Kluyveromyces lactis: one gene and its partner. The protein of the gene in region 1 purifies or fractionates together with the protein of each later gene. This does not show direct contact. Links are inferred from orthologs where the notes say so. Each region holds a gene or a part of one and is shown in the gene's direction. Other genes may lie near its edges.

Evidence for each region.
Region 2: the proteins of RAD53 (region 1) and YTA7 purify together in Saccharomyces cerevisiae (affinity purification with mass spectrometry, with the first as the bait; 3 studies listed by BioGRID). This does not show direct contact. The link is inferred for Kluyveromyces lactis from reciprocal best matches to the Saccharomyces cerevisiae genes RAD53 and YTA7.

The regions. Positions count from the first base shown.
Region 1 is NC_006042.1:1,025,699-1,030,082, reverse strand, and holds RAD53 (serine/threonine/tyrosine protein kinase RAD53), read left to right. Parts: upstream 1-1,512; coding exon 1,513-3,954; downstream 3,955-4,384. Other genes in the region: DNA replication protein SLD5, read right to left, coding at 4,227-4,384. UniProt on the Saccharomyces cerevisiae protein: Controls S-phase checkpoint as well as G1 and G2 DNA damage checkpoints. Phosphorylates proteins on serine, threonine, and tyrosine. Prevents entry into anaphase and mitotic exit after DNA damage via regulation of the Polo kinase CDC5.
Region 2 is NC_006037.1:856,838-861,429, forward strand, and holds the start of YTA7 (chromatin segregase YTA7), read left to right. Parts: upstream 1-1,620; coding exon 1,621-4,592. Other genes in the region: KLLA0_A09779g (uncharacterized protein), read right to left, coding at 1-171; GOT1 (Got1p), read left to right, coding at 642-669, 858-1,252. UniProt on the Saccharomyces cerevisiae protein: Functions as an ATP-dependent nucleosome disassembly factor that helps evict canonical histone H3 from the 5'-end of genes upon their induction.

The DNA.
Region 1 (4,384 bases):
ACGTCTATTCTCAGAAGTAAATGATATTAGACGTTCAAGTTCAACAAAAAATGAACCTGCCCAGCTTTTGTCGATTAATTGTATCTTTGTTTACTGAGGCAAAACATTGCCTGATGTCGTTTTCCTGTTTTAAAGCAACTTTTTCCCTTAAAATAAAACTGTCAAAATCGTAATTTAATTGAGATCACTGAATCTTAACGTTGCAAGCTGTTGCCAATTGTACTGGTATGCACCATACCTATCAGTTTACATGGTTTTAGGGAAGTAATGATGGGTAGTTAATTTAACAAAAATATTATGTAGAGGAATGCATCTTTCCTATACAATGTCCAATTTATGAACTAGTAGTAAATATAAATAGACTTCAAAATCTGACGCGAAAGACTACTGAGCCCGGCTCTTGTATTTAAAGGGTTTCCTTGGGAAAAACTAACGGATGTAGTAGACTTTTTATCCAGTCCTGATTCTGGGAACAGGTCATTTAATTAGCAGATAGAATGGTAAGAAACTTAACATAACGTTATGGAGGTATGTGAGATTAATAATTTACGATTTTGTTATTTACCGTAACATTACGGTTAAAGTTGACGGTATGATTTGAACCTTCACCAGTAGATCAAAGCTGATATATAATTTTACTACATAGCTATCTCGTTGAAGGACATTATTGCAGTATTAATAAAACGAAAACTTATATATATCATTTCTTCAATCGGTTATGGGGAATTGTCTTAACGAATGTTTTAAACATGAATAGAACCTAGTTTTTTCAAGAAAAGGCTCTAACAGTTCAAATACAATAACGTTATATGAGCAAAATGCAAAGAATTTCTGAAAATTCGGAGTGTTATGCTTGATAGCAACCATATCGATTTATAATCTTTACTTCCATCTATTGATAAGTAAAGATTTTAAAGTCTTTGTAGCATGACTGGAGTTAGAATAAGAAACAGCTGATACAAGTTATTCAACCATGGTATTTACTAATTGATGCCATATGGATTGTTGCAGTATAAACCGGCTTCACATAGTTCTGAAGAAGATTCGGCACCAATCACCTGATGCCGCAATGTGCCATAATAGAACTTCTATCAATGATTCCGTTCTATTTACTCAAATTCCCACTCCAACGTTGTAGCAGTGCCGAGTAAAGACTGATCCATCTTTGATCATTGGCTTTGTATATATGTATGTACTTTTACGCGTCATTGTAATATTTAATGTTCATCGAATATTTACGCGATTTAAAGGTTGACATTTTTCTGAAATAATCTGGATCTTTGAATTGCAAAAGCGATCATACACATTATGAAAGAACGATTTATTCCATTATTCATTAGCTTTGTGTTGGCAGTTTAGTGGGTATACACAGTCACAACCGACTATAGAATAGCACACTTGTGAAAATCGTTCTATATTGAGGCATTAAGTTGTCCCTTTGAGGTTTGCCGTTACCTTTCCCAGCCTCTTTAGAGATCAACTGATCATTGCTGTGCAAACGAAGATATTGACATGGATGATATAACGCAACCGACACAACAAGCCACTCAGGCTACACAGAAGTACCTAATAGATAAGTTTTCTCAGGAGAAAATAGACGACGATGTGGTGTGCAGAGTAATATGTACAACTGGTCAAATAAGTCTACGGGACTTGAAGGTTCAACCTGAAAGTATATTCAAAAAGGAATCATCAATTAAAAAAACATGGACCTTTGGAAGAAACCAAGGATGTGATTATTATCTGGGGGATATTTCAAGACTGTCCAACAGACACTTTATGCTAATGCTGGGTGAAGAAGGAACTTTAATGCTGAAGGATACATCAACCAATGGAACATGGTTAAATGGAGCGAGGATACAAAAGGATACGAATCACATCTTGACCCAAGGGGATGAAATAAGTGTTGGAGTCGGCGTTCCCAGCGATGTCGTTAGTTTAGTGATTTTCATCAACGATAGTTTCAAAAATAGACTAAAAGAACTCAATATGATGAAGGATGTGACTTCACCTGCTTCATCTTCAAAGAGCAAATATCAGATATCAATGGGACATACAGAATTAAAAGGAATACACAAATACTATTCGATATCAGATTCGATTGTTGGTCAAGGTGCTTTCGCTACTGTGAAGAAAGCTGTCGAAAGGTCAACAGGCAAAACATTTGCGGTCAAAATAATTCATAAGAGAAAAGTAATGGATAAATTTGATGGAGTGAAGAGGGAACTAGATGTATTGCAGAAATTAAATCACCCCAGGATAGTTAAACTTAAGGACTTTTTTGAAGACAATGATAATTATTACATGTTGATGGAGTTTGTCAGCGGAGGCGATTTAATGGATTTCGTAGCAGCCCATGGAACTGTAGGCGAGGATGCCGGCAGAGAGATAACACGACAGGTTTTAGAGGCAGTAAAATACATGCATGATCAAGGAATTAGCCATCGAGACTTGAAACCTGATAATATAATGATAGAGCAAGACGATCCAGTTCTTATAAAGATAACCGATTTTGGCCTGGCAAAAGTACAAAATCAGAATACATTCCTGAACACTTTTTGTGGTACTCTAGCATATGTTGCACCTGAAGTTATAGACGGGAAAAATGCTGAAGATAAAACTAATCGAGATCTGTATTCCTCACTTGTTGATATGTGGTCAATTGGATGCCTAGTTTACGTTATTCTTACAGGTCACTTGCCTTTTAGTGGTCAGTCTCAGAATGAATTGTTCAAGCAAATAAAACGGGGCTCTTATCATGAAGGACCATTAAAGGATTATAGAATATCCGAAGAGGCAAGAAACTTCATAGATTGCCTGTTGAATGTGGACCCTAAAGAAAGAATGAACGCAGGAAAGGCCCTGCAACATCCATGGATGAAAATGGCATACGTTGATAGCATGCAGTCACAAATATCCATCTCACAATCCTTGTCCCAGCAACAATTTGTTGACAGTATGAATGAGGCTGAATACGAATCATACATTGCGAAAAAGAGGTTAGAGATTATCAAGAAAGAAATAACGGCGCCTGCTGCAGAAACTAATAAAGAGCCTGTATTCAAAAAACCACAAATTGCACCATCTAAAATTGCACAATCCCAAAACTTGCAGTTTAACTTTTCAAATCCTAATACTGGTAAAGCTATTAATGTTAATTATAAATCTGGTGAAGAAGGACTTTCAAACAATAAGAACAAAAAGATCAATAGACCACTTACAAAGGTCAATGGGGAGGGGCTATTTCTCACTTTGCATTCCTTACCTGGCTCATCTATTTCAGGTAAGGTCCAAGTAAAACAAGGGATAAATCCATTCTTCATCGGTAGGTCAGACGAATGCAACTGTAAAATTGATGATAATCGTTTATCTAGGATACATTGCTTCATATTGAAGAAAAGACACGCTGTCGGTGACAGTATTTATGAATCTCCAGCTCAAGGTCTTGATGATGTATGGTATTGCCAAAGTGGTACTAACTCAAGCTATGTTAATGGAAAGAAAATCACTCCGGGCACAAAGATCTTACTTCATGATGGCGATGAAATCCAAATTATATGGGATAAAATCAATGATGTCACTGTTTCTTTCCAGCTTGAGTTCAATGATACCACTGGTTTGTTCCACGAGGGGAAGCTGGATACCAATGAGAAAACAAACAAGACACTTCTACATAAACAGACACAGGAGGAGTTAGCTTTAGTCCCTAAGTTTATGGAATTTATGAAGTCTAGATCATCACAACATGCCAAATCTAATATAAACCAGTCCTCTTCCAGTAACATAGATGCCAACTCGCAAAATATCGAGGAATTAGATTCTGTCGTTGAGATGAACTCGACTACAGGATTGAAAAGAATACATTCAGTGTCGTTATCTCAATCTCAACCGCAGACAACCAAAAGGGCTAAGCTTGCCCAAGCCCAGAAACCAGATATTGAAGGATTTCTCTGAGCTGATCATATGCTTGCCGGATGGGTTTTGCATACAGTAAATATGAAAAATAGGTACACTTTGAGTATGCTAGATAGACTTTTCAACGTTAATTGATGTAATACTAATACAAATTGGTTCAAAAGCACTATAGACCAGCAGTCAATAACACTAGGTAGAAAACATGCTGTGTTCGCAATAACATTGTTGAGAAATTATTGCTGGCAAACATTCGTTACAAACCTATATTTTTCGAAGAGTCATAGGTTCAGTAATACTGTTCAGAATTTTCATTATATTAAAACTACTCGTCCCTCAGTCATGAGATCTCGTATTACACTATAACGTATTACGTATACTGCCCCGATTAATAAGTAAATTTCTTCATTTAAATCTTCAATAATCACTGAGTAACAGTGTTTTCCATCATCATCGGTCGTTAATTTCGAAT
Region 2 (4,592 bases), on another chromosome or scaffold:
GGTGGCATTATTTGGTATATCATTGGACGCATCATTTGATTCGTCATTTGGTTCATCATTTGGTTCATCATTTGATGCCTCTTGATGCCGAGAAGCACCGGTAGACGAACCTTGTCCGACTGCTTCGTCATACGACGGAAGAATACCTGATTGTTTAACTGACGCTGCCATTATAGAATGTTGGGTCACGTGCCTAACAGCCAACGGCTCCTTCCAACCTTTCTTCCATGCATCTAGTTAGACATCTGGCTTATGCGTGTCTTATATATCCATGACTCGTCTAGCAGATGAGTGAACCATCATATCCACGCAATAACATGCAAATCCACGGCTCTAAGGTGGAAAAAGGAACCCTAAATGGTGTATAGTAATGGTGGCTTCAAGGGTATAAACCATTGGACTTAATAGCAACGGCCGGTAAATTTGCTGATTCAAAGCCTCGAACGATTTTCGTTACCCGGAAAACACAATGACCGGGTAACACTTCACGTCTTTTCAGTCCAGAAGCCCAATCGCGAAAAGCGATGGGCTTCTGGACGAGCGCAGTAAATATGTGCACATTAACGCATCAAGATAGGCACTGTTTGCCTCTCTATATATGCTCATAGTATTTGATATACACGCAACAATAGCACATAACAATGAGTAGTTGGCTATCGGAGTCACAGCGTATGTTAAACCATGTATGCGTTTACTATTATTTTTGGTTTCCCTTTACTAACATTTGTTATTTGAGATCGGCCAGTAAACTCATGCGAACATAAGGGAAATAGAAAGACGGATTGTTCAATCCGTCTTTCTATCTCACTTTTGTTACAGTACTTGCCAAAATCTTGAAATCCCACTTATCTCCCCAGAATTCGGTGCTGTGTTCACGTTCGGTGGATGTTTGTTCTTCCTTTTTGGTATCTTCACCTTCTTCGATAGAGCACTATTGGCTGTTGGGAACATCTTGTTCCTACTCGGCGTGCTGCTGATGATAGGCCCACACAAGACTCTCAAATTCTTCACTAGACCGACAAAGAGACGTGGGACCTTGTTTCTCGTGTTTGGGATATTCATGATCTTATGTAAGTGGACGTTCCTTGGGTTCATCATCGAATCGTTAGGTATAGTCGGTCTATTCGGCGACTTTTTCGGCGTGATCCTCCAATTGCTGAGGTCCATTCCTATAATCGGACCAGTACTGTCTCACCCTACCATTGCACCAGTCCTAGACCGTATAGCTGGTGTGTCAGTGCTTCCTGTGTGATGTGTGAGTGTGTGTATCTATATATATATGAGCTGTATTCGGGAATGGTTACCCTGTCCAAAATATGTCGATTACCCTACCTGAATATACCTCTAAATAAACAAAACCAAAAAGCTCCCAGAACCAGTTTAAGTTGTGTTCAGAGATTTATAACGATAATATACGGCATTAAACACAGCTTTTAAGGATCAAATTGGCGTTTTGGGCCATTAGACAAGCCAATTGGGTTAGGTTCGATTGTTATTCATTAAATCAGAGACTTTGTGGGGTGAATTTTGTGTGTCTCTGTCGCATTCTTTTTGATTTCTACAGTTCCGAAACTGCAAAATAAGAAAAGCCTTTTAGAAGTTTAGATCAAAGGAATCAAAATGACGCTCCATAGCAAGAGCGGTGACGATGAATCTGGCACTCATACTGAGTTTTACGATGATAATGGGATTGCTCATACCACACCGAGGCTGCTGAAAAAAGTTAACTACGCAGAGATTGAGAATGGTTACGATTATATCGAGGAATCTGATACGAATTCTGGAGGAACAGCCGCCGTTGGTGCTAACTATTCAGATACCGGTACTGGTAGGCGTCGTGGTAGGCGTCCCGGTCAGAGGAACAAGAGGGTTCGTGATGATGACGACGATGATGACGTTTCGTTCCACGAGGAAGATGTAGACGATGATGACGATGACGACGACGATGTTGATGACGGCGATGAGTATATCGACCCAGCAGATGATCGCAAACGGATAGCGAGAAGAAGAGATAAAAATTTCATTGTCAAGGACGATGAGGATGGATCTGATGGGAATGAAGATTATAGTATCAAGGAAGAGGATCTGGATGAAGATGAAGATGATGGAGATGAGGATGAAGAGGATGACGATGGTACTGTGAGACGTGGAAGAAGACCAAAACGGTCTGCAGCAAGAAGTACGCGTAGGGAACAGCCTCCTCGGAAGTTAAGGCCGCATAGAACCAGATCGTCTCGTGTTGTAGATGACGATGAAGACGACGATGATACGGTAGGTAGCGGTCGTCATAGATCGGCAAGTGCACGTACTAGAGAAGCGCTTACACTTGAGGACGAAATTAGAGAATTACAGGAGGACAGTCCTATCAGAGAGAAAAGGTCTTTGAGAGAACGTACAAAACCAGTAAATTACACGATCCCACCACCTTTGTCTGAAAATCAAATTGGTGCTATGGAAGCTACTTCGGTGCCAGGAATACCTCCAGGAACACTTCCATACCAATCATCCGTTTATCAGTCCCCAAGAGGTAAACGTGGTTTACATTCGGGTCAAAGTTTTGGACCTATTAGAAGGTTATTCCCTACCGGTGGTCCATTTGGTGGAAACGATGTTACGGCGATATTTGGTAAAAACGTTCAATTCTACAACTCTAATCCAAACGCTCTAAACGAACAGTCAAACAAATTTTTGGATTCTGATTCATCCGATGACGAAATCTTAGCTTTGGGTATGAAACCGAAACCAAAGGATCCATCAAAACAAAAGAAGAAAAAGAAACCGGAAATTGCAGATTTGGACCCACTTGGTGTCGATATGAACATTAATTTTGATGATGTCGGTGGTCTAGATAACTACATTGACCAATTAAAGGAGATGGTGGCATTGCCATTGTTGTACCCAGAACTTTATCAAAACTTCAATATTACTCCACCTCGTGGTGTCTTGTTCCATGGCCCACCAGGTACAGGTAAGACTTTGATGGCTAGAGCATTGGCCGCAAGTTGCTCAAATGAGAAGAGAAAGATCACTTTCTTCATGAGGAAGGGTGCTGACATTCTTTCCAAATGGGTTGGTGAAGCTGAAAGACAATTAAGGTTATTGTTTGAAGAAGCAAAGAAACATCAACCGGCAATCATTTTCTTTGATGAAATTGATGGGTTGGCTCCAGTTAGATCTTCCAAACAGGAACAAATCCATGCCAGTATCGTGTCGACAATGTTGGCATTGATGGATGGTATGGATAATAGAGGTCAGATTATTATAATCGGTGCTACGAATAGACCAGATGCAGTGGATCCTGCTTTAAGAAGACCAGGTAGATTTGACCGTGAGTTCTATTTCCCTCTACCAGACTTGAAGGCTAGAGATAAAATTTTGCATATTCACACCAAGAAATGGAATCCACCTATTTCAGATCAATTTATTTCAAAGCTAGCCTCCTTAACTAAAGGATACGGTGGTGCTGACTTAAGAGCACTTTGTACAGAAGCATCTTTGATCAGTATCCAAAGAAAGTTTCCACAAATCTATAAAAGTGAAGAAAAGCTAAAGATTGATCCTAAATCAGTTAGAGTCAAGGCTAGAGACTTCATGCTTGCACTAGAAAAGATTGTACCATCATCTGCTAGAGCTACTGGCTCTACAGCGCAGCCTTTACCAAAATATGTTGAACCGCTCCTCGCTCAACAATTTATTAACGTCAAGGATCAGCTCAACTTACTACTACCCAAGCAAAGCACAAAATTGAAATCGGGTTCCTCCATTATTCAATATTACTTAGAAAATGAGGATCTTGAGGATTCTGATGACGAAGAAGGTACTGGATTCGATAAGCATGAATTTTTAAAACTTATCAAGAAATCTCGTGTCTGCAAACCGAAACTTTTGATCACAGGCCCGCCCGGTAACGGGTTACAATATATCGCTTCCGCCACACTACACTTTTTGGAAGATTACAATATTCAAATGCTTGACATTCCTACCTTGGTATCGGAGAGTAGTAGAACGATGGAAGCAGCACTTGTACAAACATTCGCGGAGGCTAAGAAGCGTCAACCCTCTGTAATTTGCATACCAAACTTAGAATTATGGCTCCAAGCCTGTCCCCAAAGTTGTCTCATCACTTTAACCACTCTTTTCAGATCATTGCAGAGTAATGAAAACGTGGTTTTACTAGCTATCGCTGACGGCTTATCTCGCGCTGAAATTGAGGACGGTCCACTTGCAATGTTTTCCTTTGGGCCCAACATAGTGAACATTAACGAACCCTCCCCTCATCAAAGGTTTATGTATTTCAAAACCGTAGCTGATCTTATTAAGATGAAACCGACTCAATACATTGAATCGAGGAAAAGGAAGAAGCCACTTCCAAAATTACCTGTCGTCGAAACCTCACAGGAAATAGATGAGAATGGCAGACTTTTAACAGAAGAGGAGAAATTGAGACTGGAATTGAAAAAGTTCCAACACCAAGACATGAAATTAAAGAACACCTTGAAAATAAAGCTTTCTGGTTTAATGGATCTTTTCAAGAATCGTTACAAGAGGTTCAGGAAACCTCCTATTGATGATACGTTCTTGATTCACTTATT